Stegostoma tigrinum: one gene and its partners. The protein of the gene in region 2 binds, or shares a complex with, the protein of the main gene of each other region. Links are inferred from orthologs where the notes say so. Each region holds a gene or a part of one and is shown on either strand. Other genes may lie near its edges. The genes, in order: morf4l1, histone acetyltransferase KAT5, enhancer of polycomb homolog 1-like and mbtd1.

Region 1 (7,170 bases), on a different chromosome or scaffold from region 2:
AAAGAATCAGCCCTCTGACACCTTCTGAGAAAGAGAATTTCACAGACTAACAAAAGTCAGTTTTTTTTTCTCTTTCTCCCCATTGCTGTCTTAAAACGCAGACATCTTACTGTTAAAACGAGTCCCCTAGTTTTAGTCTCCGCAACAAGAGGGGATATCCTCTTGCTATCCAATCTATGCAGTCCACTCATATGTATTTCAATAAGATCACCTCATTCTTCTAAACTCTAATTAATAAAAGCATAATCTGTTCAACCTTTCTTTATAAAATAAGCCTTTCACCCCAGGAATGAGTCAAGTGAACCTTTTCTGAACCACTTCTGAAGCAAGTATATGTTTTCTCAAAATCAGGCAGAGTACTCCACATATGGCTTCATCTGCTATACTAGCACACCCTTCTGCAATTCATCTACCATTCAAACCCCCAAATCCTTCTGCACCACTGAGACCGACAAGTTCTGTTCATTGAAGTAGTTTTTGTCTTTCTTGTCTTCTTGTCCATTACAACTCCCTTTGAGAATTAAAACTGAATCCAATCTTTACACTCTCTCAGGTAGTTCATTCCAATTCCTTAGCACACATGAAAGAGATATATTTATGTCATCTTAGATTCTTTTTGCTACTCACCTTATATTGGTGCCCTCTGATTTTTTTCTGCCAATGTGAACAGTTTCTCTCTCCTGAAATGGGGAGGTAATGGCCTAATGGTATTATCACTGGACAGTTAACTGCGAGACCCAGATAATGTTCTGGGTACATGCTCCAATCCCGCCATGACAGATGGTGGAATTTGAATTCAATTTTTTAAAAATCTGAAATTAAGAGTCTAATGGGGACCATGAATCCATTGTCGATTGTTGGAAAATTTTTACTAATGTCCTTTAGGGAAGGAAACTGCCATCCTTACCGGATCTGGTCTACATGTGACTCCAGACCCACAGCAATGTGGCTGAGTCTCAACCACCCTTTGGGCAATAAATGCTGCCTAGCCAGTGACACCCTCATCCCATGAATGAATAAAGAAAAAACAACTCGATTTTGAGCACCTCTATCAAATCTCCACCTAATTTTTTATTCTACAAGAATAGTCCTATCTTCCACACTATCAATACAGGTGAAATCTTTCATCCTTGGAACCATCCACATGAATTATTTCTACACCCTCATTAATGCCATCCCATCCTTTGCAGAGTTTGACACTGAGCCAAATAACAGACAAACTGAAACTAAATCAGTATTGCATAAAAAATAATCATAACTTGTTTTTATACACTACATATTCATTTTTACAATGTCCAGCATCCCAATTATGTTTAAAACCACTTTGTCAACATGCTCTGCCAACTTCTGGTCCCGCACTCATTTAGGAAAACATGGTAGCCAATGACAATAGTAACCACACTTCAAAAGCAAAGCAATGGCTGTTAAGCCAGTGAGGAATCTACATCAATATAACTGGCCCATTTCAACCTCTCATTTTCTTGTCCCATTTTTCTTCACGGCAACTCCTTCCCTCAATAAAAATTCCTATGCATGCAGTTCTAACAACTTCTCATAAACCAATCACAATGTTACCCTTCTGGAGTGGTAGTTCTATTATACTTCAGTTTTCCCTCTGCCTTTATGTACTTGACTCGCGTACAATCCAAACTACTACACATTTAGTTGTAAACAGCTAAAACCAAATAATGTTAAGATGTGATTAAAAAAGATGAACCTGATGCATCAGCCCTACCTACCTCTCTCCACAGATGCTGAATGATTCCAGCATATTCTGTTTTACCTAGACAGCAAATTCACCAGCACCTGAAAAAAAAGAAATACAGGCTGTTTCAGATGGAGACTCCGTGTCAGAACAGTTCTGACAAAGAGTCTACACCCAAAATATGAAGCTATCTTTGCAGCTGCTAATGAGCTTGCTACGTAATTCCAAAGTTTACCTTTTTTTCAATCTTATGTCTGTATTTGCCAATGCAGACACAAGTGGTGTAAAGTAGAAACACAATCCAGACTTGTATATTGCCTTACAACCACTTCCCATCTGGCAGTCATACAACACAAGAGTATAATTTTATGTCTTCTTGCTTATATTTTAATCAGGTCACGAGTAAGGTAGGACAGTTTCACTAAATACGTAGAAGTCCTCGAATTCCAGATTTCCTTCCAGGGAGAAACCATGGTCGAAGCAAAGATAGAAAGGTGCAAAGTCTCTTTTGCCACAAGAAGAAATAGACGGTTTCAGCAAATAAAGCAACGTTAAGCACGTTTAGCCAGACTAACTTACATACCTCCTCCTCACGGATGTGGAAAAGGGCACGGCCAATGAAGCAATTCCTTTGACAACCCCTTGGAAAGTGCATTGCAATAAATGGTTCGTTGCATTCTGCACATAGAGCAAGTCGTTGCAAAGTTGTCAGCACAAATGTAAACTTGCTCCATTGAAACCAAAGACAAAAATGGCACAAATCTGACTTTCGCTGAAAACGTTGGGGGGGTGCGGTGGTGTAGGTGGGAATAAGGAGAGGAAGAGGATTACGGGGAAACAACACACATACATGCAAATTGGCGGAGGAAACATTCTGCGCGATTATACTCTGCACAAATAAGTGTACAAAGGGTAAGGAACGAGTACAATGTGCTTACATCTAGCAGTCTAACCAGCTGCAAAATCTCCATTGAGGCGCCTGCAAAGCCCCTCGTACCAAGGGAGGCTGCCCTCCAAGCATGCGCACTGAGGAGTGGGTGGGGGAAGGGAAGGAGCCGGGCCCCGGCGCCATTTTTCCCCTCCGCCTCCTCCCAATCGCCGTATCCCCGCGGGGGGCTCACCTTCCTGAAATTTGGGTCTAGGGTCCGGTTTCGGAGCCATCAAGTCAAACCGTCTCTCCGTGCTAAATCCGAGCGCCTGTGCTGCCCCTCTGTCCCCGCACCATAATCGCGGCCCGGTCTGCTCTCGCACGGGCGCCGAGCAACACGACGTACCGGGTTGGAGGGGGGCGGGTCGTCATCGGGGCGACGTGACCCGTCGTCGAAACACGTCACGCCCCGGCCAAGGTGCTCTCATTGCGCACGCGCGGCTGTCCGGTGGGGCTCTGGGAGTTGTAGTTTGAAATTGGCATACAGGGAGCGTGCTAGAGGAAGTTTAAGACGTGAATTGGTGTTCTTGTTTGTATTTCCGACCTTCAGACCTCACAGCTCTTTGTTTTATTATACTGGGTTAACTCAGCAGGTTTGACAGCATCTGTGAAAAGAGAAAAAGAGTCAAAGTTTTGAGTCGAGGGAGTTGAGTTGAAGGGTGCTTCTGCATTTCTGACAGCAAGTTCACCAGGACAAAACAAAACAGAAAAACAGCAATCAAGTTTCTCCAGCAATTACTGCTCTGTATGTTTCTGTACTCTGTCACTGTTCTGGGTGAGAGTAGAAGTGTGGGACATTGGGTTCAACACAGCTTGCGGCCTTGTCAACTAAATTGTGGGGTGTGGAATTCCTCTGTTGAGGAAAAAGGAAGGCACTTCAGAGCCTGCACCCCCAGAAGTTGGAACAGAGTGACAGAGTTGCAGAATCTAAGAATGGAATAGACTCTTTAGAAGAAGCAGGGCATGAGGAGGTTAGTCAAGTAACTGTGGGTGTGATGGATATTGGTGGTCAATCTACCCCTGAAATAGAAATGAAAATGCCAAGGAAGAGGAGACTCAGATGGACCAAGTGAACAAGAGAAGCCTCTTCACTATACACCACACACATGGCTATGCAATACCAGAAGGTGTAACATTTACCTTTTCATCATCTCAGTCCCCCAGATCCCAAACTCATCATCCTGGAGATGCAAAGATTTAGCGATACATTTTTCAATCTCCTCTATTCACAATACAGTTTCCTTCACATCAGAAAAACTAAACGCAAACTGGGTGATTGTTTTGTGGTGTACCTTACACTATGTGTAGGAATGACCCTTGATCTGCAAGTTGCTTGCCATTTCAATTTACGTTCTTGCTCTCTTGTGCACATTTCTATCCTAGGCCTGCTGCAGTGTCCCAGAGAAGCAAGTTGCAGGAGCAACATCTTATTTTCTGTTGAGACGTTTTACAGATTTCAGGACTCAATGCTGAGTTCAGTGGAGTTCAGAACATGAACACTGTCAGAGAGTAGTACAGCACGAAACCAAAATCTGGATATCCTAAAATCCAGTACCATTTGGCCCATATCCCTCTAAACCCTTCCTATTCATGTACCCATCTGGATGCCTTTTAAAAGTTGCAATTGTACCAGCTTCCACCCTCTGCATGTAAAAGTTATCCCTTAGGTCCCTTTTAAATCTTTCCTGTCTCACCTTAAGCCCTTACCCGCTAGTTTTGACTTCTTACCCTGGAAAAAAGACCCTGGCTATCACCCTATCTATGTCCCTCATGACTTTATAAAGCTTTTTCATGTAATGAAACATCCCAGATGCTTTGCAGAGACTATGCAAAACACAAAGTGACACCAAGTTGCATAAGGAGATAGTAGGTCAGTGCAGTTAAGAGGGTAAACATGAGTGCCTCAAAGGAGACAAGCAAGACAGAGAGGTGACAGGAGAGGTTTACAATTCTTGGGGCCTAAGCAATTGAATGCACTTAAGCAGTGGTAATTATAATTGGAAATGTGTAAGATGGCAGTTTCAGAGGAATTCAAGTATTTTGAAGTGTTGGAAGGGCAATGGGAAGGTTTTATAAACAGGGATGAAAGTTTTAAAACCAAGACATTTCTTGATGAGGGGACAATGTAAATTACAGGGAATGGGATGAACTGCAGGTGAGGATCTGAAGCAGTGTGTTACATGTCCTTAAGTTTACAAATTACAGTGTTGAAGACCTGCAAAATGTGCATTGGAATAGTCAAGTTTAGAGGTTTCAAAATTCAGGTTTTCAGTGATTAAGTCAGATTACAGCATCATGACTGCAGATGCTGCAAACCTGGAGGCCATTTAGCCCATTGTGTGTACATTAGCTCCCTGGAGAAACTATTCCCAAATAATATCACTTGTTTCATCTTTAAACATAGCCCTGTAAATACTTTGATCTATTTCTCCGATTCTCTTTTGGATCTATGACATGGACTTAAGCATGTCAAGAAGGCAGCACACTACCATCATCTCGCGAGCAATTAGTAATGGACAATAAATGCCAGCCACCCAGTGATTCACACATCCCATGAAAGAATAAATAAAAATCTTATCCCACAAGCCTTTCATTTCAATGCATTTCAAATTGCAACTGTGTAACACAAAATGTTGCTTATTGTCATCTAGTCAATCACCTTACTGCTGCTGTTCTCTGGTTCCTGATACTTCTCCCAAAGGAAAAGTAAAAGCAAAGGAAAAATGGCTACAATTGTAGAGGACTGTAGGGTTATTGTCTTATTAGAGTTGAATGGTGGTGGTTTAATCTGAGGGTCACCACACCACAGGCAAGGAGCGAGGTTGAGAAGGCAGGATTTTCATGTTAATCTCAGCTGTGCAGGAATTGAACCCATTCTGTTCATATTTGAATTGCAAACAATCATCCAAATGTACTACTTTATTCACTCCTGTCAAATTCTTCATGACTTTGAACATTTCCATGAAATCTCTCTTACTCTATTATGCTCTAAGGTGCTTTTCCATATCTGATCTTAAGATAATAGATGAAATGAACATCAGCCAGGAGTTACATTTCCTGGCTGATAATAGTGACCTCCTGCTGGGAAAGTGTAGCTTTGTGCACATCCCGTGAAGGAAGTGTTGGAGTTTGCTTTAATGCCATAGGCAGGGAAATAATCTGCAGGCAGTCCTGGCTCAATCTTGAAAAATGAACATAACACATGAACATATTGAATTAACAGACGGGAAAAATACTTCTAGCCAATGAAGCTGATTCAAAATTGTGTGACTGGAGGTGTTACGTCCGCTTGAATTACCCTTCTTTAATATCTTACAAGAAAGACAGCATCTTTAAAAATGCAGCACTTCTTCAAGTTTATAATGCAGTGTCAGGCTAGAAACAGATGCTCAATCATGTGTGAAATCTGAGCTGAGAACAACTCTGAGTGTAGCTTCCAACCAGAATATTTTAAGTATTGGTTAAAAAAAACACATTGCATTGAAGCTTTTCATCATTCACTCATCAGCATATTTATAAGACTGTCAACATGCAGGTGAACAACAATTCTATACTATGTCAGATAAAGCATGCTGATTGGCTAGCAAGTGGATGCCAATTGATTGAAGTGTTACCATCGAGAATGCACAAGTTCAATGATGACTGACAATCAGTGTTGAGCTTTGTATGAATTTAAAACTGGTATGTTGAATCTGATTAGTCAAGATAGTGCCTTGAAGATTGCATCTGAGAGTAACAGTCATCTGTTTTGTTGCATTGAAACAAGTGCCCTTTGTGTTTTCCTGTCTGCAAAGAAAAGGTGTATTAATAGATGTAACCTTCTTAATGCAGAGATCTGCCACACTGTAAGGCCAACTGACAATCTTGTCACTGCAAGGCAAAAAAAACAGACCTCCCTTCCCCCTCCCCATTTCTGAAGAAGGGTCCCAACCTGAAATGTTAGCTTTCCTGCTCCAGCTCCAACCTATGTTATCCTTAACATTTGTAAATGGTGGCTCAGTGGTTAGCACTGCTGCCTAACAGGACCTGGGTTCATTTCCTGCCATGGGTGACTGTCTGTGTGGGGTTTGCGCATTCTTCCTGTGTCTGCATGGGTTTCCTCCAGGTACTCTGGTTGCCTCCCACTGTCCAAATATGTGCAGCCTAGGTGGATTGGCCATGCTAAATTGTCTGTGATGTTCAGGGGTATGTAGATTAGGAGGGTGGGATGCTGTCAGGGTCAGTGTTGACTTGTTGGGCTTAAGGGCCTGTTTCCACACTGTAGGGATCCTATGATTAACAAAGTGTGTCTTTTATCAAGAATACTCAAGTTATATACCAGTAAATAATGAGGAGAATTTTAATTTCTATTATAATATTTATATTGCATTAAATGGCGTCCACAAACATCCTGCCTGCCAGGCCAACAGCATGCATTCATCATATCAACTGTGGATGCTGCATGTGATCAGTTTTATTTTAAGTTTAGGATAATGCGCTCTCAACAAACATTTCTCATCTTGGAGACAGTAAAGACTGCAGATGCTGGAAGCTAGAC
Region 2 (7,466 bases):
CACTGCACAAGAGAGAGAGTTTCATGCTGAGTCGCTGGACTTCACCCTGGACCAGGATCGCAAAATGGGCACAGGAACAATCTTGGCCTCCAGGCTAGCTGTCAATCGAGGGGACCCTGATGAGCAGAAGGGCGTGAGGCTTACTGGGTTTTTTTCCCTCTCTTTTTCATTTACTTACTTTCACTTTTTTATTTACTTAATAAACGCACCTTTCTTTTCTTCTCACTCAGTAAATGTTTACATTTAAGAGAATTGCCATTGTCGAGCCTTCTCTTCAATACCTTTAACCGAATCAGACAAAAAACTGCACCTGAATGCACTCTGTGATCTAAGACATTATTCAACATCTCCCCTCATTCCCCTTGACCCCCCATCCTGTGGGAGTGACTCCCATATTCTACCCACTATCTGGGGGCCACATGATGGTTCTCCCGAATTCTCCGCTGAGTTTATTCGGGACTGACTGACATTGATGGGCCCTGGTTCTCTGCTCTCTCCTCTGCTGCCCCAGCGACCCCACCCCCCCCCACCCCAACTCCCACCCCTCCAACCCCCAAACAATAGGAAAACCTCTTTTCACAATCAGACTGTATCAAAACCTCCTTCTTCATTTTGAAGACTCGGTCAGAGACCTCACCTGCCTCCGCATTCTCTTTTCCAGAGAGCTGGGCTATTACATAAGGCTTTAGGAAGGGCTTTGACAAGGTCCCTCATGGCAGGCTAGTCATGGAGATTAGGTCGCATGGGATCCAGCGAGAGCTACCAAACTGGATTCAAATTTGGTTCGATGGTAGGAAGCAAAGGGCAACGGTTGAAGGTTGTTTCTCGAATTTGGGGCCTGTGACTAGTGGTGTGCCACAGGGGTTGGTGCTGGGACCACTGTTATTTACGTATATCATCTGGATGTGAATGTACAAGGCATGGTTAGTGAGCTTGTGGATGATACAAAATTAGGCGGTATCGCCGATAGTGAGGAAGGTTACCAAAAATTAGACAGGGATCTTGATCAGGTGGAGAAGTGGGCCGAGGATTGGCACATGCAGTTCAATACAGGTAAGTGTGAGGTGTTGCATTTTGGAAAGTCAAACCAAGTTAGGACTTGTACAGTAAACAATAAGGTTATGAGGAGCATTGTAGAACAGAGGGATCCAGGAGTACGAGTACATAGTTGATTGAAAGCGGCGTCACAGATAGACAGGGTGATGAAGAAGGCATTTTGCATGCCGGCTTTGGTCTGTCAAGGCACTGAGTATCGGAGTTTGGATGTTATGTTACAGTTGTGTAAGTTGTTGGTGAGGCCACACTTGCTCTATTATTGTGTATAGGTTTGGTCACCCTGTTATAGGAAAGATATCGTTAAACTGGAAGGTGTGCAAAGAAGATTTGTGAGGATGTTGCCAGGACTAGTAGGCCTGAGTTATAGGGAGAGGTTGGCCAGGATAGGACTTCAATCCTTGGAACATAAGAGAATGAGGGGTAACCTTATTAGGGAGTGTAAAATCACAAGGGGCATAGATAAGATGAATGCATATAGCCTTTTTCCCAGGGATGGGGAATTGATAACTAGAAGGCACAGGTTTAAGAAGGATCTGAGGGGCAACTTCTTCACACAGAGGGTGGTGTGTAAATGGAATGGGCTGCCAGGGAAAGTGGGTGAGGCAGGAACAACAGCAACATTTTAAAACCCTTTGGATAGGTACATGGATGGGAAGGGGACATGGACCAAATGCAGGCAATTGGAACTAGCTCAGCAGGCACCACGGTCAGTATGGACCAGTTTGGGCCTGTTTCCATGCTGTATTACTCTATGACTCTATGACATAAGAAATTGGTGCAAGAGCGAGCCATCTGGCCCATTGAGCCCGCTCCACCATTCAATAAGATCATGGCTGATCTCCCACTTACCCACTGTCTCACCATAACTCTCCTGTTAATTCTGTTATCCTGTTATTCCCTATCCTGTTCAAAAATCACTACCTTAAAAACATTCAACAGGATAGCCTCAACTGCATTGCTGGGTGGGGAGTTCCACAGATTCACAAACCTTTGGGTGAAGAGGATAATAATAGTCAGACATTACTGAAGAAAGGAAAAGCACTGTAGGATCAGCTCATCCAGGTTGGTGATTTCAGAGTGGGGATACAGAACTGTTTTTATTCTCAATCCGTTCAATACTTGTGTGAGTGAAGGGGAATTTTAAAAGGGCTGATAATAGTCAGCATGGTGATAATGGTAAGGGTGATAATTCAGGAAGTTGTTCAGAATGAAACTAATGTTAATAACAAAGGTGATAATTAAGATTATTAACAAAGATAATGTTAATAACAATGGTATTAATTGAGGAGGTTATGAACATCATAGTAGTGTTAATAATGATGAGGGTGATCATTTCTTTCTATTTTTCATGGGATGAGGATGTCACTGGCTGGGCCAGCATTTATTACCCAGAGGCCGGTTATGAATCAACAACATCGCTGTGGGTCTGGAGTCACATGTAGGCCAGGCCAGGTAAGGGTGGCAGTTTCCTTCCCTAAAGGGCATGAGTGAACCAGATGGGGTTTTCCCAACAATCAACAATGGATTCATGGTCATCATTAGACTCTTAATTCCAGATTTTTATCGAATCCTAATTCCAATATTTGCCGTGGCAGGATACAAACCTGGTCCCCAAATAGTTACATACATCTCTGGGTTAAACAGTCCAGCATTAGTCAGCTCCCCTCAAATAGAGGGGATTCTTAATAATGATACTAATAATGTTATTAATAATGACAAGGGTGTTAATTGAAGTTATTAGTGATAATAATGGTGAGGGTGTTAATTGAGGTTATTAGTGATCATAATGGTGAGGGTATTAATTGAGGTTATTAGTGATCATAATGGTGAGGATGTTAATTGAGATTATCAATGATAATAATGGTGAGGGTGATAATTGAGCTTATCAGTGATAATAATTGTGAGGGTGTTAATTGAGGTTATTAGTGATAATAACACTGAGGGTGTTAATTGAGGTTATTAGTGATAATAATTGTGAGGGCATTAATTGAGGTTATTAGTGATAATAATAGTAAGGGTGTTAATTGAGGTTATTAGTGATAATAATTGTGAGGGTGTTAATTGAGATTATCAATGATAATAACAGTGAGGGTGTTAATTGAGGTTATCAGTGATAATAATTGTGAGGGTGTTAATTAAGCTTATCAATGATAATAACAGTGAGGGTGTTAATTGAGATTATCAATGGTGAGGGTGTTAATTGAGGTTATTAGTGATAATAAGTGAGGGTGTTAATTGAGGTTATTAATGATAATAATAGAGGGTGGTAATTGGTGGTTATTGATGATAATGGTGTGGGTGATAATTGGGAAGAATTTAATAATAATAACCGTCAGGTTGACAATTGTGATGGTTATTAATTTCTAATAACGGTCAGGGTGATAATTGAGGTGGTCGTTAATGATAATAACAGTGAGAGTCATAATTGATGTGGTTATTAATGATAATAACAGTGAGAGTGTGAATAGAAAAGGTTATTAATGATAATAATGGTGAGTATGATAATTGAGAAGGTTATTATTGATAATAACAGTAAGAGTGATAATTGAGGTGATTTTTAAAATTATACTAATGTTGAGATTGATAATTCAGGTAGTTATTAATGATAATAACGGTGAGGGTGATAATTCAGAAGCCTGCTAATGAGAATAATGATAATAATGTCAATAATAATGGTGATAATTTACGAATTTATTAATAAAGTTGAGAATAATGGTGAGGATAAGTGAGGCAGTTATTAAAGATAATAGGGAGGGTGATAATTGAGGTAGTTATTAATTATTATAATGTTGATGGTAGAAGTCAAGAATGTTATTAATGATAGTAATATTAATGATAGTAATGGTGAGGGTCATTGAGGTGGTCTTAATAATGGTGATAATTGAGCAGTTTTTATAAAGAAAGTTAATAATAATAGTGAGGATGATAATTGAGGAAGTTATTAAGAATGACAATAAGGTTAATAATTTCGAAGTTGACAATTGAGTTTTTGGTGTTTTGGTGCTGGAAACAGGCACTAAGATAGCCACCTATACACCCTATCTGGTGAAATGGGTGCTAAATGTTGGTGAGTTTAAATGATCAGATTAACCCCCCTACCCCTCTGGCGGGTGAGAGCATCTTCTCCTGGGGGCTGGGATCTCTGGGCACACTCTTTATTGAATTATTTCGCCGTGTTTTTGCGGGGGGATGGCAGGCGGTGCGGCGGCCTCCTCGGCGACGTGAAGGACCCCGAGGGGACAAGATGGCGGCTGCGGCGGAGCGGAGTCGGTGAAAAAACACTTTTATCGAAAGAAATAAACAAACTCCACCGCCGTCCCGTGGCTAAGAGACATCGGGGAGCGGGAAAGACCGAGCGTGATCAACGTCCGCACCGGCATTTTCCACCCGAGTCTCACCCTCTGTCTCAGTCACACTCACCGCCCGGACTAACAATGGAGGTGATCGAAGGATGCCGCCTTCCCGTCCTCCGGAGGAACCAGGAGAATGAGGACGAGTGGCGTGAGTAGCCGACATGGCGGACGGGCGGGCGCGGTGTACCATCCCTCGGACGGGGCTGTTTGCATTTCGTCCTCCATGCCGTGTGGGGGCGCTCCCACTGGAGGACCCTGTGTGCAGTACCTCCTCCAGGCCACGTGGGGCGCGCTCCCACTGAAGGACCCTGTGTGCAGTACCTCCTCCAGGCCACGTGGGGCGCTTCCACTGGAGGACCCTGTGTGCAGTACCTCCTCCAGGCCACGTGGGGCGCGCTCCCACTGATGGACGCTGTGTGCAGTACCTCCTCCAGGTCACGTGGGTAGCGCTCCCACTGAAGGACCCTGTGTGCAATACCTCCTCCAGGCCACGTGGGTAGCGCTCCCACTGAAGGACCCTGTGTGCAATACCTCCTCCAGGCCACGTGGGGCGCGCTCCCACTGGAGGACCTTGTGTGCAGTACCTCCTCCAGGTCACGTGGGTAGCGCTCCCACTGGAGAACCCTGTGTGCAGTACCTCTTCCAGGCCATGAGGGGCGTGCACTCCGGTGGAAGTCTGTGAGTGGAGTACCTCCTCCAGGTTATGGGGGTGCTCCCAATGGAAATCCCTGAGAGCTGTATCTCCTCAGCATCATGGGGCAGATGGGGTGTATGCTCCCTCTGGAAATCCCTAAGTGTGTACTACCTGCTCCACACGATAGGGACAGGGGTGGTGGTTGCACTCTCATTGGAAATCTCTGAGTGCAGTACCTCCTCCACACCATAGGGAGCACTCCCACTGCAACTCCAAAGGAGTAATATCACCACCTGGCCATGGCGGGTGGTTCCCACTGGAAATCCCTGAATGCAGTACCTCCTTAAAGTTTTGGAGGGTGCCCCCGCTGCAGATCTCGAGAAGCAATCTCTCCGTTTAGCCACGGTGGTGGTTCCCATTGGAACTCCCCACATGCACTGCCTCATCCTGGCCACAGGGCAAGGGATGCAGTGCCACTGAATCGCCCTGAGTCTAGTACCTGCATCAGGCCGTGGAGGAGGGGTGTGATACCACTGGATCCTGTGGCATTAGTACCTCCTACAGGCCAAAGGGGTGGTCCCATTGGACCTCTGAGTGCAGTCCCTCTTCTGGCTGTATTGGGTGGGGTTAGGGGTGAGGGGAAGTCGGTTGCTCCCCTTGTGGAGTGCAGTCCCACAGCAATTCATATAAGGAGCAATACCTCCTCGTGGCCATGGGGGGGTTGCTCCCATTGTAACTCTCTGAGTGTGGTACCTCCTCCAGGATGTGGTATGGGGCGGGGGGGGTGGAAATTGCCATTTGGATCTTGCAAAGTGCAGCTCCTTCTGCAGGACTCAGAGCACAGGCTGTTATTGGAAACTCTGAGTGTGATATCTGCTCCAGGACACGGTGGAGTTTGGTGGGCACCCATTGGATCTTGTGAAGTGCAGTGCCTTCTCCAGGCCATGAGTGACGCTCCCAGTGGATCTTCTTTCTGGTCATAAGGAGTGGTCCCACTGAATCTCCCTGGGCACAGTAAATCCTCCTGGTCTTGAGGAGTGCCCTCAATGGAACAGATATAGTGCAGTAACCCGTCCCATCCACAAGGGCACACCCAGTGGAACTACGGTGGTAAGGTACCTCCTCCTCTCCAGAGAGTGTGATCCCGCTGGATCCACCAGAGTACAGTATCTCCTCCTGGCAGGACACACAGTCCCACATCTCCCAGAGTGTGATACCTCTTGCCACTTGCGGGGGCTCTCCAACTGGTTCTGCTGGATAGTTCCTCATCCCAACACTAGATGCACTAAGATAATAAAATGTGAGGCTGGATGAACACAGCAGGCCAAGCAGCATCTCAGGAGCACAAAAGCTGACGTTTCGGGCCTAGACCCTTCATCAGAGAGGGGGATGGGGGGAGGGAACTGGAATAAATAGGGAGAGAGGGGGAGGCGGACCGAAGATGGAGAATAAAGAAGATAGGTGGAGAGGGTGTAGGTGGGGAGGTAGGGAGGCGACAGGTCAGTCCAGGGAAGACCACCTCCTTGACCTGTCCGTCTTCCCTGGACTGACCTATCCTCTCCCTACCTCCCCACCTACACCCTCTCCACCTATCTTCTTTACTCTCCATCTTCGGTCCGCCTCCCCCTCTCTCCCTATTTATTCCAGTTCCCTCCCCCCATCCCCCTCTCTGATGAAGGGTCTAGGCCCGAAACGTCAGTTTTTGTGCTCCTGAGATGCTGCTTGGCCTGCTGTGTTCATCCAGCCTCACATTTTATTATCTTGGAATCTCCAGCATCTGCAGTTCCCATTATCTCTGATACTAGATGCACTAATCCCAGTTTCCTGCCCTCGTCCCAGATCCTTGAATGTATCTATATTTATAGTGCACATCCAAATGTTTTTAAAGGTTGTAATGTTTCCGGTCTCTAATACCTCCCAGGAAGTGCATTCGAGATTCCCAGCACCCCCTGAGTGAAAAGGTTTTCCTCAAATCCCCTCAGAATCTCCTGCCTCTTACCGTAAAACTATGACATCTCGAGATAGACCCTGCAACGAAAGGTAGCAGCTGCTCTCTACTCGCCCTGTTCATACATAGTTGTGTACATCTCATTCTTGTCACCCCCTCAGTCTTCTCTGCTCTAGAGAAAACAATCCAAACCTACCCAGTCTCTCCTCACCGCTCAGTTTCTCCACCCCAGGCTATATGCTGGTGAACCTCCTCTACCCCCTCTAGTGCTATCACGTCCTTCCTGTAGTGAGGTGACCAGGACTGCACACAGTACTCCAGCTGTGGCCTAACCAACACCCTGTACAACTTCAACATTACCTCCCTGCTCTTGTACTCTATGCCACGACTGATGAAAGCAAGTGTTCCATCGGCCTTCTTACCTGTCCTGTTCACATGCTCTGCCGACTTCAGGGATCTGTGAATAATTACCCGA
Region 3 (8,306 bases), on a different chromosome or scaffold from region 2:
AACGACATGTGAAGCTGGATGAACACAGCAGGCCAAGCAGCATCTCAGGAGCACAAAAGCTCTGATCACATTATTTATACCTAATTAGACAAACATGAGAACCATATTTCAAAGTGATAGCCCCAGCTCCAATGGACACACACACACACAGAGCACCCTCTGGATGAAAAAGATGAGCCTTAGGTCTCTTTTATACCTTTATAACTATGCCCTCTAGTTTTGAGTTTCTCTACCCTGGCAAAAAAAAACCTTGGCTATTCATCCCATCCCACATCTCTGACTCTATAACTGGTACCACAAACTGTCACTGCAAAAATGAGAGTGGAGAAGCTCTGCTGACACTGGTGCAGAACTATCTGCCCTCTTCAGTATAATAACCTTACATGTGCCTCAAGGATTCTGGACTCCAGAAAGCCAATTAAGCTATTTGGGGATATTAGTTGAGGGTTAAACATTTGCCACAATGCAGGGAGAGAGATCTTCCCACCCCATCCTGCAACACTTACGTCAAAGAATTCTTTACATTCAGCCCAGAATTCACGTGGAAGTCTGATTTTAGGTTTCATGTGAAAAATGTGGCACATCCACCTAAAACAGGGTTGGTGTTTAATATCGCACTGACAGGTAATAAATCACAATAAAAATTCTCATGTGGAATTTCACTCAAGCGTATCAACTTCGTCAAAGAGTGGTACAACAAGTGCATATCAAAAGATCTAAAATAAAAGAAGCATTTGCCCTTGCTTACAAATATTTATTGCCCAAATCAAAAATCACTGGAACAGCAGTGTTATTGTTGCACCTTGTATGACATTGTTGCTCGAGTTTCCCCACATTTGAAAAGTAGTGCATAGCAAAGGTTTTCAACTGCTGGAACAGAAAACACCAGTGCAATGTAAATTAATTCCGTTTACTTATTTTGAGCATCTGATTCACAAAGCCAAGCACAAATAGGCATAAGAATCTTTTTGGAAAACTAAAATCCTAACCTTAAGATACATAGATAATAGGAACTGCAGACGCTGCAGAATCTGAGATAACAAAGTGTGGAGCTGGATGAACACAGCAGGCCAAGCAGTATCCCAGGAGCACAAAAGCTGACGTTTCGGGCCTAGACACTTCATCAGGGGAAAAAAAAACCTTTTTTTCTGTTACAGACTACAAACACAAGGAAGTAGAACCAGATATCCACAAATGAAGACCAGTACTGTAGTTTGCCAATGAGTTGAAATGAATTCCTTTGAGGTATTCTGTCTGCAACCCCATATTTTAGTTACTGATGTACATCCAGTAGACTGTCATCTTAAGTAATAGCTTGAATGCATTTTGTTTAATTGTGTCAGTAAGCTCATTCAAACTGTGGGAAGTGCAATATTGTATTTCCCAGGTGTTGAAAATATTTTGAGCCCCCAATTAACTATGCACTGATGTTAACAGCAACTTCAGAATTTCATGCAAGAACATTTATTTGGTAATAACAGATTTGGCTAATGGTACATTGCTATCAAATCAGCAAGGTTAGGTGACAGTAATTAAAGAATTCACTGCTCCTCTATTTAGATTAGATTAATGCCAAGTTCCAGCAATATCATATTTCTGACTTTAACAGAATCCTATTCACATAATAAGCCATCCTGACTTTAATCCAGCTCCTTGCCTGACAAGTTCAGTATACTTCATAATACAAACCATAACTATGGTACTGAATCTGAAACTATGACTATTTTTCACCTTGACAGCCTCACAACTGCAACTATCTGTGTAACATCTTGCTTTACAGATCACGATGTGGGAGATTTTCCAAAAGCCTCAAAAACACGATGACATTCAACCGCTAGAATTCTTATAAGTTACACTTCACATTATTGCTTCACAATAAACTAATTTTGCATGTCACCCATGAAACTAACTGTGGATACGACGGATGTGGAATAAAACAGTCGGAAAAACAACTATAAGTCTCACGGTCTCTGCACAAACTTAGCTGTAGTAGTAATCTGCATTATAAAGGAGGAGTCTTCCCGCTGTCCATACTCGGGAACTGCACAACAGGTCACAACTGGCGCACGTGCTGAGATTAAAAACAGTGATACTTTCACAATGATCTCTGTTCAGCGAGATGTTGTGAAGCACCATTTTGCAAGTCAACTTACACACGGAACATATAAAACAAGAGAGCAAATAAAAACAACGCCCATATATACGGGAGCTAGAACTGAGTGAAATACAAATTTGTCTACAATACAATAATCCACAACTCCCAACACCCCAGGCAAAAAAAATTCAGGCTCTCTAGCGCCACCCTCCTACTGGAGTTGGTTGTTGCCGAGATCGTGCCCAACCCAGAGAGAAACACAACAAAATGGCTGCCTCGCCAGTCACGTGATCTTTTGTACACCGAGGGGGTAAAAATAATATCTTTCGTAGACAAGGAACAATATCCTTCTCGCCCACCCGCTCAGCGGGGTGAAAAATCAACGGGATAGGACCTTCGATTGTTTCAAAATAACAAAAAGAAACAAGGAGGGCGGCCTCCCTCCCGAGCGGAGGAATAAAGTGTGGGTGGTTCCGGGGCCCGTCTCTCCGTTTCCGCGGCCCGGCCCCATGTTTGGGAGGAAGCGAGCGAGAGCCGTGTAATGGCGGCCGCGCAACCTGCGCACACAGGCAACACCTCCCGCCACCAACTACCAGCCCACCACTAACACCCCCCCTCCCCCGAGGCCACAAAACACGTCCGAATAAAATGATTTTTAAAACTCCTTTCGTCAAAAAAAGACGGGCATGTTTTTTAAAAAAACAACCAAACCCGCCCCGTGTGCACCTACCGATTCCTCCTCCTTCTCCATCCCCGTGGGCATCTGGGGCACCGCTCGGTTGATGGAGGCATATTCGTGCAGATCCGGCAAATCCTCGCACCGATACACGGGCAGAGGTTTCGATGCATCGAGCGCCCTTGCCCGAAACGACAGTTTGCTCATTATTCTCGGCTCTCCCTCGGTTTGTATGTGCGTGTTCGCGGCGGATTAGAAACCCAAACACCACCGCGGGAGAGAGAGAGAGAGAAAGAGGGGAGGGGAAGGAGAGAGGGAGGGAGGGAGGTTGTAGTTGGAAGGAAAATATAAATATATATATATATAAAATGCGTTTTTTTTAGTCGCCGATGAAATGTTGACGCCTACACCCAGTAAAACCTACACGGAGCCTCCCGAAACCTATCATGGATGAAAGATTGGAGATCCTAGTTCCATTCCGTGAAGAAAAAACGGGGGTTGGAAACGGAAGAAAGGCGGTTTTTCCCCCGGTCCGTTTAGGTTCCTTTTGTCGACTTCAATACGCCATGGCCAACATGGCGGTCATTAAAGTCCAGCCATCCCACAATGCACAGCAACAGGGACGAGGCTCGGCCGAGCTGCGCGCGCAACGGCCCACAACCCCCCCCCCCCACTTCAACCGGCCGGCGGTCGGTTAGTGCGGGAGGAGAATGTTGCTGCTCCGCTGGGCACCCGGCACTAACGGCTGCCTTGGATTTCTACCGGGTTGTTTTTCTCCCCCCCCGCCTAGCAGCGAGTCAAGCAGCCCACCCCCTCCCTTTTGCAGGATATGCTGTATAAAACCTCATCTCCCATTCTCCTCCCACCCTTTTGAAAATGTTTTCGAATTCTCCTCCCCCGCTCCCACCCGGTTAATATTTGTGTTTTCGGCTCCACGGAAAACAAAACTTCGCTTTCAGTCCGAGCCTGCGTTTCTTGGCTCCTCTTTTTGAAAGAAATGCACAAGTCGTTATCACAACGATTGACTATTGTCTTTTCGTTTCCCTTCCAAGTTTTTTTTCCATCGTTTCTGTTCGCTTCCTAATTCAACTACGCCACAACATGGATACCCTCAGTCACAACAACTTTACAAGAAGCTGTTGGAAACGGCGCCCTCTACAACACGAAGTGCCAGCGTTTGGTTTTTTTTAAATGGTCTGCTGGGAAAAGGGGAATGTCACATGTCTCATAATAATAACTACAGTTCAAAACTCAATGGGCAGGTTGTAATCTGTCACAGGGTATTGCGCAATTCGGCGTAAACAATTGCAAAGCTTCCTGCTAGTCTTGATTGTTTGTACTGCACAGAGACAGTAAGGCTACTTGTCGAATCAAAAAGATGTTCAAGGCAAATCTGGCAATGTATATGACACCGTGAATCAAATCAAACAATTCAATGCCCATAAAACGGGATTTCGGTTTTTGAATTCATCCGAGCACGAAGTTTGACCATTTTTAAACTTAATTATTATTCTGAAACAGTATGTCACCATGCACAATTAGGCAAATTGACGTTTCAACAAAAATCTAAATGCCACTCGGTGATTTACTATTGTTTATGACATTTAAAGGCAGAGGTAGGTAGATTCTTGTTAAGCAAAAGGGGTGAAAGGTTAGTGGATAGATTGTAGATTGAATGGTAAAGCAGGTTCAAGGGGCTGAAGGGCCTGCACCTAGTTTGGTTGTAATGATTCCACACCAATTCAACGTTTCCAAAACAAAAAAACCAAACATTAACTCATGTTGTGAAGTACAGAATTTAACTACATTTTTGTTACAACACCAAATCAAACTTTTATATTTAAAGTCATTAAAAGACATCAATAAATTGTGATTTGCTGGTGAAAAATTATAAACTTCAAAGTGTGGTACATCAGACATGCAGACAGCTGAATCTTCAGTTTTAATTTAACCTACATACAACTAATGAAATTTCCCACGTCTGTTCTGGAAATCAGTAATGAACGTCAATAGAGTTTTATCAGATTGAATTGATACACAAGTATACTGAATATTTAATTTCCATTTGTTCCAATTTTTCATTTACAAGCTAATCTTATTTTGCAGTTTGTTATCTAGTAACTCTCAATAGGTTGTACTATTTTTGCAATGAGCTTATGCTGCCAATGTGCTTTATATATAAATATAGAAAACAGCGTTTTACTGACATTCAAATGATTGAATCACTTGACGGATTACATTGTTTAATGCACCAGCAGTTTACAGTCAGCGACAAATTGATGGAAGGGATCATCAATAGCACTATCTAGCAGCACTTATGTTCCAATAATCTACTCGCCAATAAGAATTTGGGCCCTGCCAGGAATTGAATTCCAGATTTAGTTAGTCTTTGTCAAACACAGAACAAGAGCTGAATTTCAGATGAGAGATGAGTGTGACTGGCCTTTATATGCAGGCAGGACTTGACCAACATGACACCAGGGCCTTAACAAAAAACTGCAGTCAGTCAACAGGAATCAGGGACAAAACTATCCAATAATTGGAGTTACATTTGCAGAAAGGAAGATGATTGTAGTTCTGGAAATCAACCATCTCAGTCCCAGCACATCACTACAGAATCACAACTGTTACTGTGCAGAAAGAGAGCATTCAGCCTGTTGTGCCAGTGTCTGATTTCTTAATGAGAAACTCAGCCATTTCCCTGTAATCTCACATTTTCTTTTTGGAATATAATCCAAATCACTCTTTAAAGCCTTAATTGAAGTTTGTCTCAATCTCTGTCTCCACCACAATCTCAGTCAGCATTTTCCAGATATTAAATCACTCAATACAGAAACAAAATCCTTTCATCACCAATGTACATTTCTAGTTACCAGAAAGCTGTGCCCTCTCTTTTGTTACACAATGGCAAGTGTTCCCTTCATCAGTTGTGTCCAGTCTCCGTATTTGAAAATCTCTATCCATCTACCTCTTAACATTCAAGAAAAGCCATACAACTGTCTGCAATAAACTTTAGTTCCTCATGCTTGGAACCATTTTGCAAATGTTTTTTGTAGCTATACCAACATCTTCACATCATTCTTAAAGAATTGGTCACAATACTCCAGTTGAGGCCAAACCAATGTGTTATAGAAGTTTAACATAGTTTTACTTTTGTGCTCCATGGTCCTGTAAATAAAGCCTAGGATACTGTTGTTTATTAAGAGTTCTCAAAACGGTCGTGCCACCTTCAATGACTTGTGCATATCTCTTAGGTCCTATAGGTAATTTGGAACTGTATCCTTTATTTTGTTCTGTCTCTATGCTCTTCCTGCCAAAATGAATTAGACTTGACTTCACTGCATTAAATTTCATCTGCCAACTTTCTGGCCATTGCAACAACCTATTTTTGTACTTTTGAAGTTCAATTTTATTCTCTTCAATGTTCATAATACTTCCAAACAACATTAATGATCAGAATGAAGGAATGGAGGGCATTATGTCATCTGCAAGCTTAGCAATAAAGATAGGTGTAGGGTTAGGCCACATTGAGGAAGCAGGAAGGCTGCAGAAGGACTTGGATAAGCTAGCAGTGGACAAAGAAGTGGTAGATGAAATATAATGTGAGAAAGTGTGAGGTCTTGTACTTTGGTAAGAAGAAGAGGCATAAACTATTTCTCTTAATTTTAACACGCAAGTTCAGGTGGCAGTTAGGAAGCCAAATGCAAAGTTAGCATTTATTTATTTCAAGAGGGCTTGAAAACAAAGCAAACAGGAATAAACTGCTAAGGCTCAACCACATTTGGAATATTGAGGGCAGTTATGGGCTCTGTGTCTTAAGGAAGGATTTGCTGGCCTTGGAGAGGGTCCAAAGGAGGTTCACAAGCATGATCCTGGGGAATGGAGGGCTAATCTCAAGAGGAACAGTTGAGGACTCTAGGTCTGTACTCTGGGGGTTTAGTAGGCTGTGGCGGAGGTGGGGGGGGGGGAGAGGAGATGTCAATGAAACTGAAAAGAATATTAAGAGACCTAGATAGAATGGTCGTAGAGAGGGTGTTTCTAGAATCACAAAATCGCCACACACCAATCCCCTGTTCAGCATCCCAACCAGACCCATCCCCCTCTACTAGGGCCCAAGGGCATAGCATCATAGACAAGACAACCCTTTAGAATGTAATGAGGAGGAGTTTCTCAGCCAAAGGATGATAAATCTGTGGAATTCATAACAGCTTTCAGTGGCAGGGGCCAAGTCACTGTGTGCATTTAAGACAGAGATAGAGAGATTTTTGATTAGTAAGTAGATTGAGGGGAGAGGGAGGAGAATGGAATTGAGAAACATATCAGCTACGATAAAATGGCAAAGGCAACCCAAATGGACCATATGGCTGAATTGTCCTCCTATATCTTTATGGTCTGATACACACACCTTGAGAATTCTGCCATAAATCTTCCTGCAGTCAGAAAAACATCCACTGAACACTATCTCCCATCACTCAGCCATTTTCAGAACCATGTATTTTTGTCCCTTTTATTCCAAGTGCTGAAACTTTGTTCATAAAAATTTGTTGTGTGGCACTGTGTTAAATGACTGCACACCCACTTGTGCCACATCAACAGCATTATCCTCATTGACCAGCTCAATTAACTCTTCAAAAGACAAACGTAAGTATTAGTTAAGCAAAGCTATCCTTTAACAAACTATGCTGGAATTTTTTAATTAATCCAGATTTCCCAAGAGACTTTTGTCTTGAATTATTGTTTCAGAAGCTTTGCCATCAGCGTTGTTATAGGACTCGCATATCGTTGCTAAACTCATCTTTACATTTAAAAGAAATGTTGCAATTCTCCAGTTCTCTGATAATCACCTGAGTCAAAGAAAGATCGTAAAATTATAGTCAATGCCTCCAATTTCTATTCTCACCATCTCTGGTGTCCTTGGATCTCTCTTATTCAGTCCTGAAGCCTAACCAACTGTAAATAAAAAGACTGACTCCACTGCCTCCTGTTCATCGATTTCAAACTAAGTATTTGAATTATCTCCTTTCACCACGACCTGGACAGTATTTCTTCTTTTGGTAAAGACTGACATTAAATTTCCAGGCATAAATCCCCTTTTTGGGCTCTGATTGGTCCCATCCTGGTTCTACCAACCACCCTTTCACTATTAATATTTGTATACCTACAGAAGATTTCAGAATTTATTTCCATCAACTTGCAGTCTCTCCATACAATCAAGATCTCCTCAGGGCAGAAGAGATTATGAGAGAGTTTCAGTGGGAGAGAGATCTGTAGACACGACCATCTTCAGCTGCATCAACGGCTTTCCTACCATGAGGTTAATAAGTGGGTAGGATCATTGATGATTGCAGTGTTCAGTTCTGCGTCAGATACTCATCAGTTCAGGCTGACTGGTGCCAAGTAACTAACATTCATGGTTCACAAATACCAGGCTATGGACACATTGAAAAAAAAAGAAAAATTTAACCATCTCCCCTCAGCGTTCAATGGCATCATGATAACCTAACTTCCCCATTAGCAGAGATAATGGGAACGGCA
Region 4 (7,972 bases), on a different chromosome or scaffold from region 2:
ATGCTGCCTGGCTGCTGTGTTCCTCCAGCTCCGCACTGTCTTACCACTGGAATCAGCACGTTGTTTTATGAGGAAAGGTTGGACAGGCTAAGCTTTGATCCATTGAAGCTGAGAAGAGACAAGTTGTTTGAAATATACAAGACCCTGCGAGGGGTCCTGACAGAATGGATGTGGCAAGTTTATTTACTCTCATACTAGAGCTTCGTACTAGGCGTTACTGTTTAAAAATAAGCAGTAAACTATTGAGCAAAGGGATGAAAAGAAAGAGAGGTTGAAGAGTTTTTGGAATTCTTTTCCTCAAAGGGTGGCAATAAAAAGTCTTTGAATGCCTTTAAGGCAGATGTCAATAGATTATTGCCAAGCATGAGGCGGAAAAGTCATCCTACAGTTTGATGCCACGTGGAGTCATCAGATCAGCCAAGATCTTCATCAATTGCTGAAAATGCTCAAGGGACTGAGTAGGCAATTCTTATTTATATGATCATATTTATACAAGGCAGAGCATAGAACAACATCCAAAGGCAGTTCAAAAACCGAACAAAGGCAAAATATTATCATCCTTGGATAAGCATATGGATGATGATGATGGGACAGTGTAGGGGGAGGGGCTTAGATTAGTTCACAGGTCGACGCAACATCTATGTTCTCTGTTCTATTAAGTACAGTAACCAAAAGCTAGTGTGAAAACAGTCAGAATTTAAGATGGGCAGACAGCATAGTAATGGATGATTTGGGGAGGGAATTCCAGGACGTGTTGCACATTCAACTCAAAACACAGATAACACAGTGTGGAGCTGGAGGAAAACAGCATGCCAGGCAGCATCAGAGGAGCAGGCAAGTTGACGTTTTGGATCAGGACCCTTTTTCTATTATCCCTGACTCCAGCATCCGTAGTTCTTACTATCTCCAACTGAAAGCACAGCCAAGATACCTGAACAACCTAAACTAGTTGTTGAAACAAGGGAGACCCGGGAAAAAGAGAAGACACCACTTGGTATGCTAATTATTTCCAGTATTTTCTGTTTTCATATCTGAGAGAAATTGTGTTGTTAAAGGCCATGGGTCAGTTCTGATAGCCTTTCGCTTATGTAATTCAAAATCTCCAGACTCCTCAATTACAGAACCTCCTCGCAGCTACCCAGTCTTCTTCTTAGACAAACCCCTAGAATTAAGAATTAAACATAAATTCAAGAAAATTTTGGACTCAACAAGATCACCTCTCATTCTTCTTAACTATGGTGAGCACAGGTCCCATTCTACTCCATTTCTCCACATTTCATCCGAGGGTGCAATCGAGCAAACAGTTGTGCAGCCTTCTATAGCAAGGAATTCAAAATTCAATACATCTGTACATCAGAATTACAGTTTGAGATGATATATAGGATGCACTGTATGTGTTCAGTAACTGTAAATTTGGTCACTGCTGTAGTGCAAATATTATTTTTGGACTTATAAAAAACTCATTTGCAGGACATGTTGGATAAGCCAAGATTTATTACCAACTCCTAACTGCCCTCAAGAAAGTGGTAGTGAGTTGTCTTTGTGAAATACTTATTTGGAACACCCACTGTGTTGTTACAGGGTGAATTCCCAGATTTTAACCCTGTTACAGTGAAGAAACAACAATGTATTTTGAAGTCTGGATGATGTGTGGCATGGAGGGGATCTTGCAAATGATGGTGTTCCCGCATACCTGCTGCCACCGTCATTCTGGTTTGGAGATTTGAAGGTGTTATCCAAGGAGCCTTGGCAAGTTACTGCAGTGCATCTGGAAGATGGTACACACTGCTGCAGTTTCTCTGCAGTGGTGAATACAGAGTGAATGTAGAAGGTGTGAGAATTGACATGCCAATCAAAAAACTGCTTTGTCCTGAATGGTGTTAACCTTCCTGAGTGTTTTTCGGAGTTTCACCCATCCTACCAAGTGGACAGTATTTCATTACACGCCTGACTCAATAGCACTGTCGATAACACCTTCCATTATTCTGTTGATACAAAATAAACTGATGGATTGATAAATGGCCTGGTTGATTTGTCTTGCTTTTTGTGGACACGATATGGTTGTACAATTTTCCACATTGACATGTATTTGTCACTGTTCTAAATGTGCCGAACAAGCTTGCCTAATGACGTGGTTAGTTCTGGAGCTCATCTTCAGTACTTTTTGAGAATGTTAACACAGTCCACAGCCTTTCCAGAATCCAGCATCATCAGCTATTTCTTGATATCGTAAAGTCTATCAAATTGGTTGAAGACCAGCATCAGCAATGTTGGGGACATCAGGAGAAGGTAGAGGTGGATCTTCTGACTGAACAGGGTGCAAATGCTTCAGTCTTTTCATTTGTGCTGACGTGCTGGACTCCTCCATTATTAAAGATGAAGTCATTCAGAGCTTCTCCTTTTTTTGGTATTCATTGACGGGAAGAGGGCATTGCTGGCTAGGCCTGCATTTATTGCCCATCACTAATTGAGGTTGAGAGTCAACCACATTGCTGTAGAGCTGGAGTCACATGTAGGGAGCTTCCTTCCCTAAAGTACATTACTAAATCAAAAGGGTTTTCTCGATAATTCACAATGATTTCATGGTTATTACCGCGCTATTAATTCCAATTTTTTAAATTGAATTCAAATTCCACAATCTGCCACGGCAGGATTTGAACCTAGGTCCCCAGGATGTTAGCTGGGTCTCTGGATTAACAGTTCAGCAATAACACCATTAGGCCATTGTCTCACCTTATAGTGAGTTGTTTTGTTATTCATCATTGGATGTGGTCAGACTGCAAAGCTTAGATCAGATTTGTTCATTATGGGATAACTCACTGTTTGGCATGTAAATAATCCTGTGTTTACGTTACTGGGTGAGTGACAGAGAATGGTAACATGAGAGATGAGCGGATGGAACTAAAGAAGATGGTCAAAACCAACGCAATTGCCAGTTCAGTAGCAAGGCAGGCCAACATGCGATTTGGTGTCATAATGAAACCCAAGTCTTCATCCACTGTGACAAAGTGTGGAACTGGATGAACACACACGCCAAGCAGCATCTTAGGAGCACAAAAGCTGACGTTTCGGGCCTAGACCCTTCATCACACCCTCTTCTGACACTCTTTCTCTCTGATGAAAGGTCTAGGCTCAAAACGTCAGCTTTTGTGCTCCTGAGATGCTGCTTGGCCTGCTGTGTTCATCCAGCTTCACACCTTGTTATCTTGGATTCTCCAGCATCTGCAGTTCCCATTATCTCTTCATCCACTATACCTGGCTCACTCAGTATGGTAAGCTAACCACACATCACTGGAAGATTTGAATATTATCAATCTGATGTTTTAAACTACAAATACTTGGCAGATACTCCATGAAAATCCAACAAACACAAATGGCTGTGAATCTACACCAATTGTCAACATGGTTTAAATTACATAATTCTATTCACAGAGGAAAATGCTACACTCTCAAATTCTGCAAAGTTTTCTCAATGGCAACTCCAAGATGATTTATTCCTCACAGAATGCAGTACATAGAAGAACATGTGCACCTTGCTCGTTTTGTTTCCACATATAGAGACGTACAGCACAGAAACAGATCCTTCGCTCCAACCAGTCCAGGCGAACATAACCCCAAACTAAACAAGGCCCACCTGCCTGCTCCTGGCCCATATCCCTCCACACCTTTCCTACTCACGTACTTATCCAAATGTCTTTTAAATGTTGTGATTGTACCCACATCCGCCACTTCCTCAGGAGGTTCATTCCACACAGGAGCCACCCTTTGTCTAAAAACATCTACCTCATTTTTTTCAATCTCTCTCCTCTCAACTTAAAAATGTGCCCCCGGGCCAGGGTGAAGGCGCCGCCGCTTTTCATTCTCCATCGGGATGGCTCCCGCTGAGATCTCTCAACCGAACCTCCGCTTCCCCCAGTCCTCATTGGACCAATGCTTCAGACTAAAGCCCACCTCCTCCTTGAAAATGCCCATCCTAGGGGAAAAACAACTACCATTAACTCTATCTATACCTCTCATTACTTCAGTCAGATTGCCAGTCAACCTTCTACATTCCAGTGAAGGATGTCCCAGCCTATCCTGCCTTTCTTTACAACCCAACTTCCACACCCAGCAACACCTGGCAAATCTCTTCTGACCGTCTCCGCTTGATAATATCCTTCCTATAACTGGGCGACCAGAACTGGACACACTGCTCCAGAAGAGGCCTGACCAATGTCCTGTACAACCTCAACATGATTTCCCAACTCTTATACTCAAAGAAGCGAGCAATGACTTTTTCAGAAAACATAACCCTTTTAGGAAAAAGTCCCAATATCTTTTTTCTCTGGAACAAAACAACATGCAGGCCATTAGGTTCCTAACATCTTAACTCAGATTTTTACAAAAAGCAGAGTTCGCATGTTAAGATCTTAACCGGTTTCTGGTAAACAGTGTTATAAAGGTTACTTTAAATTTTCTTGGTTATTCTGGTCCATTAAGGAAGAATTCACTAAGATTTTTGTCTTCAACCCACATCAATGTTGCGCTTATTCATGCAGATGACGTACAGGGGAACACTGTGCCAACACACGCCAGAAGATACTGCAAGGGAAATATATTACCGAAGCGTCGACACAACAGTCATCAATAAATACCCACACTTTATTTAAAAAATATATAACACACACAAGTTGGGCTTGTTTTGAAAACTAGGGCCCGTTGGGTTGTCATCGTATGCAATCAAACCTGCTAGCGTGCTGAGTGACAGGGCCACCGACCAATCAGGGTGCAGGCGGTAGAGGAGGTGGGCATTAGTCTGAAGCATTGGTCCAATGAGGACTGGGGGAAGCGGAGGTTCGGGTGAGAGATCTCAGCGGGAGCCATCCCGATGGAGAATGAAAAGCGGTGGCGCCCTCACCCTGGCCCGGGACACTCACTCACCTCCTCGGCGTGCTTCCGCAGGGCTTTCTCCCGCTCATACTGGGTGATGAGCTGCTCGTTATCCTCCCGCAATAGCTCCAGCTCCACCTCGTGCTCCTGGTTCTCGGCGAACATCGCGTCCAGGTTCTCCAGCACACCGACCACCAGCGGCATCAGGTCCTTCACCACATCTTCGTCGTACTTGCGGATCATCCTCTCGAACTCCCGGTAAATACTAGCCGCCAGGCCTGACACCCGCTCCGACATAACATTAGTGTTGGAGTCATCCTGGTAAACCACCCCATCATCCATTTCCATTTTCTTTAAATTATCAATATGCTGGGGAAAACATATAGACAAATCAATGATTTACGCCGGAGGAAGTTAAGGGAATAACCACCTATATTTCTCTTCAGCTCCTGCTGCTTTCTTCTCTCCGCCGCTCAGCCGTCTCCCGCTCCCTCCCTGTTGACGACGCCGCTCGGCTCGAGGCCACTGGCTCCAACCCCGCCCCCTCAGCGCGCTGCCCAGCCCCCACTGTGCGCGTTCCCGTTCGAGGGGCGCGGTCCCGCCCCGTCCAGGCTGCGCGCCCCCGCACGCCGGGCCGCCCCGATCAGGCACGGAACGTCGCGAGCTTCCACAAGTCATGTGATCCCGTCACATGCTCTTGCCGGGCTATAGATAGTGGGAGCTGCGGATGCTGCTGGGTGAGCTCAGCAGGCGCAGCGGCATCAGGGGAGTAGGAAGGCTGATGTTTTGGGTCTAGACCCTGAGGCCCGAAATGTCAGCTTTCCTGCTCCTCTGACACTGCTTGGCCTGCTGTGTTCACCCAGCTCTACGCTTTGTTATCTCTGCTCTCGGGCGAAAACGGGTAACTCTGTCTTCCTCCATGCAGCACTTTGTCCCATTACAGGGATTTTGTGATGATAGTTGACATCTATGAATGGTTAGGTCTTTTATTTTTTTTAAATACTTTGGACGCAAGGTTTCAGGGTCACAGACAAGATATCTCCTTGAATAAAATTGTTACGAACGTCAGAATTGCTAGTGAAAAAACATGCTTTTGTCTAGTTTATCTTCTACCAATCATGTAATACAGTACAATGGAGCTATTAACAAGTCAAAAATGATGCTTTCATAAACATGAGCTCCTCCAAAATCACACAAAAACAAGAACTGCAGATACTTTAAATCAGGAACTCCATTTCCTGCCTACTAACCTCATCCCACCTCCTTGACCTGTCCGTGTTCCCTGGTCAGACCTATCCCCTCCCCACCTATACTCTCCTCTCCACCTATCTTCTTTTCTCTTCATCTTCGGTCCACCTCCCCCCTCTCCCTATTTATTCCAGTTCCCTCCCCCCATCCCCCTCTCTGATGAAGGGTCTAGGCCCGCAACGTCAGCTTTTGTGCTCCTTAGATGCTGCTTGGCCTGCTGTGTTTATTCAGTTTCACACTTTATTATCTTGGATTCTCCAGCATCTGCAGTTCCCATTATCTCTGATACAAAAACAGAAGTTGCTGGAAGCTCAGCAGGTCTGTCTTGTAGAAGTGTCACTGGAGTGAAACGTTAACTTTGATTTTTTTTTCTTTGCAGGAGCTGCTAGACCTGCTGAGCTTCCAGCAACTTCTGTTTTTGTTCCTCAAAAACTGCTGTCCATATTTCTTTTGCTTATAGCTTAGATGGCAGCGTTCTTTTCTCTGAATGACAGTTATGGCTTGAAAGCTTCTTCGAGGACTTGAATACAAAAGCCAAAACAGATATTCCAATTTTGCGCCATCGGAAATGCCATGCTTTGAAGGACATAAAAATGAGGCCTCTGGTTAACGGAAGAGATCCTATGGAACTATGTCAAGTAAAAGCGAGTGGTGTTTTAGCATAAAATACTGGAAGTGGTTATAATGAAAGTTCATCACCCATATGCTGGTAGGCTCACTGAGTATTTCAAGTATTTTCTGTTTTTTATTTCACATTTCCTGTGTGTACAGATATGTGGGTTGAACATATGTTTTAATGTTAAATCAATGTAAATTACATTACATAATTCTAAACACTGCAAATGGACATGGAAACTTGGAGATTCATATGTATATATCTTTGACTTGAAAGGACGTATTGAGAGAGTAGATTTTAAAACATCATGCCTTCAAAGATTGTGATATTGAGTTTAAAATCACTGATATTATGGTGAATATTTATTTTTGCCTGGTTAGGCAATAAGTTCTGGCCATCATGCTTCAGGAAGGACTTGACAATCCTTGAAAGGGCGCACAGGAGATTTACCAGAATGGTTCAGTCAGAGAGAGAGAGTTTAGCTGCAAAATGAGTTTGGAGAAACAGAACTTGTTCTCCTTGGAGCAAAGGAGAGATTTGACAGAGGTACCCATGGTACGTAAAGAAAAAGAAGTTCGGGATTATATCAAATTAAAAGGAGAAAAATGTATAACATGGCAAAGATTGGTGGTAATCTAGAGGATTGGGAATGTTTTAGAAAATCAACAAAAGTCAACCGAAGATAATAGAGAAAAAACATAAACTTGGAGGGTTAACTTGCAAGTAATATCAAAACTTCTTTAAGTAAATAAAAATAAAGAGAGAAGCAGAAGGGAACACAGGCCCATTAAAGACTAAAGCTGGTGAAATAACAACGGGGAACCGGGAAAAGACAAAGTTGAGAAGTACTTTGCATCAGCACTCACAATACAAGACAATAACAACATTACAAAAGTACAAAGTTATCAAATGGCTAAGGTAATTAATGGGGCTAAAGAATAATAAGTTCCTTGACACGATAGGATACGTTGTGGAAATTAAAGGATGCATGTATAGAGATAGTAGATGCACTTGTAACCATCTTCCAGGAATCCTTCGATTCTGGGCAAGTCCCAGAGAATTAGAAAACTTTTAATGTAGCACCTTTTATTAAAAATGGGAAGAAGACCAAAAAAAGCTGTCTGCCAGTTACCTTTATATCTGACCTTGAAAAAATGTTAGAATCTGTTGTAAAGGATGTAATAGCAAAGCATTTAGAAATATATAATAAGATCAAAGCAGGATCAGCATGGCCTCAAA

The links.
Region 1: histone acetyltransferase KAT5 (region 2) and morf4l1 share a complex: the UniProt entries of both Homo sapiens proteins name them as parts of the nuA4 histone acetyltransferase complex. The link is inferred for Stegostoma tigrinum from reciprocal best matches to the Homo sapiens genes KAT5 and MORF4L1.
Region 3: histone acetyltransferase KAT5 (region 2) and enhancer of polycomb homolog 1-like share a complex: the UniProt entries of both Homo sapiens proteins name them as parts of the nuA4 histone acetyltransferase complex. The link is inferred for Stegostoma tigrinum from reciprocal best matches to the Homo sapiens genes KAT5 and EPC1.
Region 4: histone acetyltransferase KAT5 (region 2) and mbtd1 share a complex: the UniProt entries of both Homo sapiens proteins name them as parts of the nuA4 histone acetyltransferase complex. The link is inferred for Stegostoma tigrinum from reciprocal best matches to the Homo sapiens genes KAT5 and MBTD1.

What each region holds. Positions count from the first base shown.
Region 1 is NC_081386.1:32,983,647-32,990,816, forward strand, and holds the start of morf4l1 (mortality factor 4-like protein 1), read right to left. Parts: upstream 3,010-7,170; 5' UTR 2,867-3,009; coding exon 2,827-2,866; intron 1-2,826. UniProt on the Homo sapiens protein: Component of the NuA4 histone acetyltransferase (HAT) complex which is involved in transcriptional activation of select genes principally by acetylation of nucleosomal histones H4 and H2A.
Region 2 is NC_081395.1:3,923,129-3,930,594, forward strand, and holds the start of histone acetyltransferase KAT5, read left to right. Parts: upstream 1-4,274; 5' UTR 4,275-4,490; coding exon 4,491-4,557; intron 4,558-7,466. UniProt on the Homo sapiens protein: Catalytic subunit of the NuA4 histone acetyltransferase complex, a multiprotein complex involved in transcriptional activation of select genes principally by acetylation of nucleosomal histones H2A and H4.
Region 3 is NC_081355.1:128,371,947-128,380,252, forward strand, and holds the start of enhancer of polycomb homolog 1-like, read right to left. Parts: upstream 3,053-8,306; 5' UTR 2,979-3,052; coding exon 2,826-2,978; intron 1-2,825. UniProt on the Homo sapiens protein: Component of the NuA4 histone acetyltransferase (HAT) complex, a multiprotein complex involved in transcriptional activation of select genes principally by acetylation of nucleosomal histones H4 and H2A.
Region 4 is NC_081375.1:6,125,959-6,133,930, reverse strand, and holds the start of mbtd1 (MBT domain-containing protein 1), read left to right. Parts: upstream 1-4,834; 5' UTR 4,835-4,920; coding exon of another isoform or gene 4,921-5,217; exon of another isoform or gene 5,218-5,403; intron 5,404-6,496; 5' UTR 6,497-6,801; coding exon 6,802-6,826; intron 6,827-7,972. Other genes in the region: C-Jun-amino-terminal kinase-interacting protein 4, read right to left, coding at 4,921-5,217. UniProt on the Homo sapiens protein: Chromatin reader component of the NuA4 histone acetyltransferase complex, a multiprotein complex involved in transcriptional activation of select genes principally by acetylation of nucleosomal histones H4 and H2A.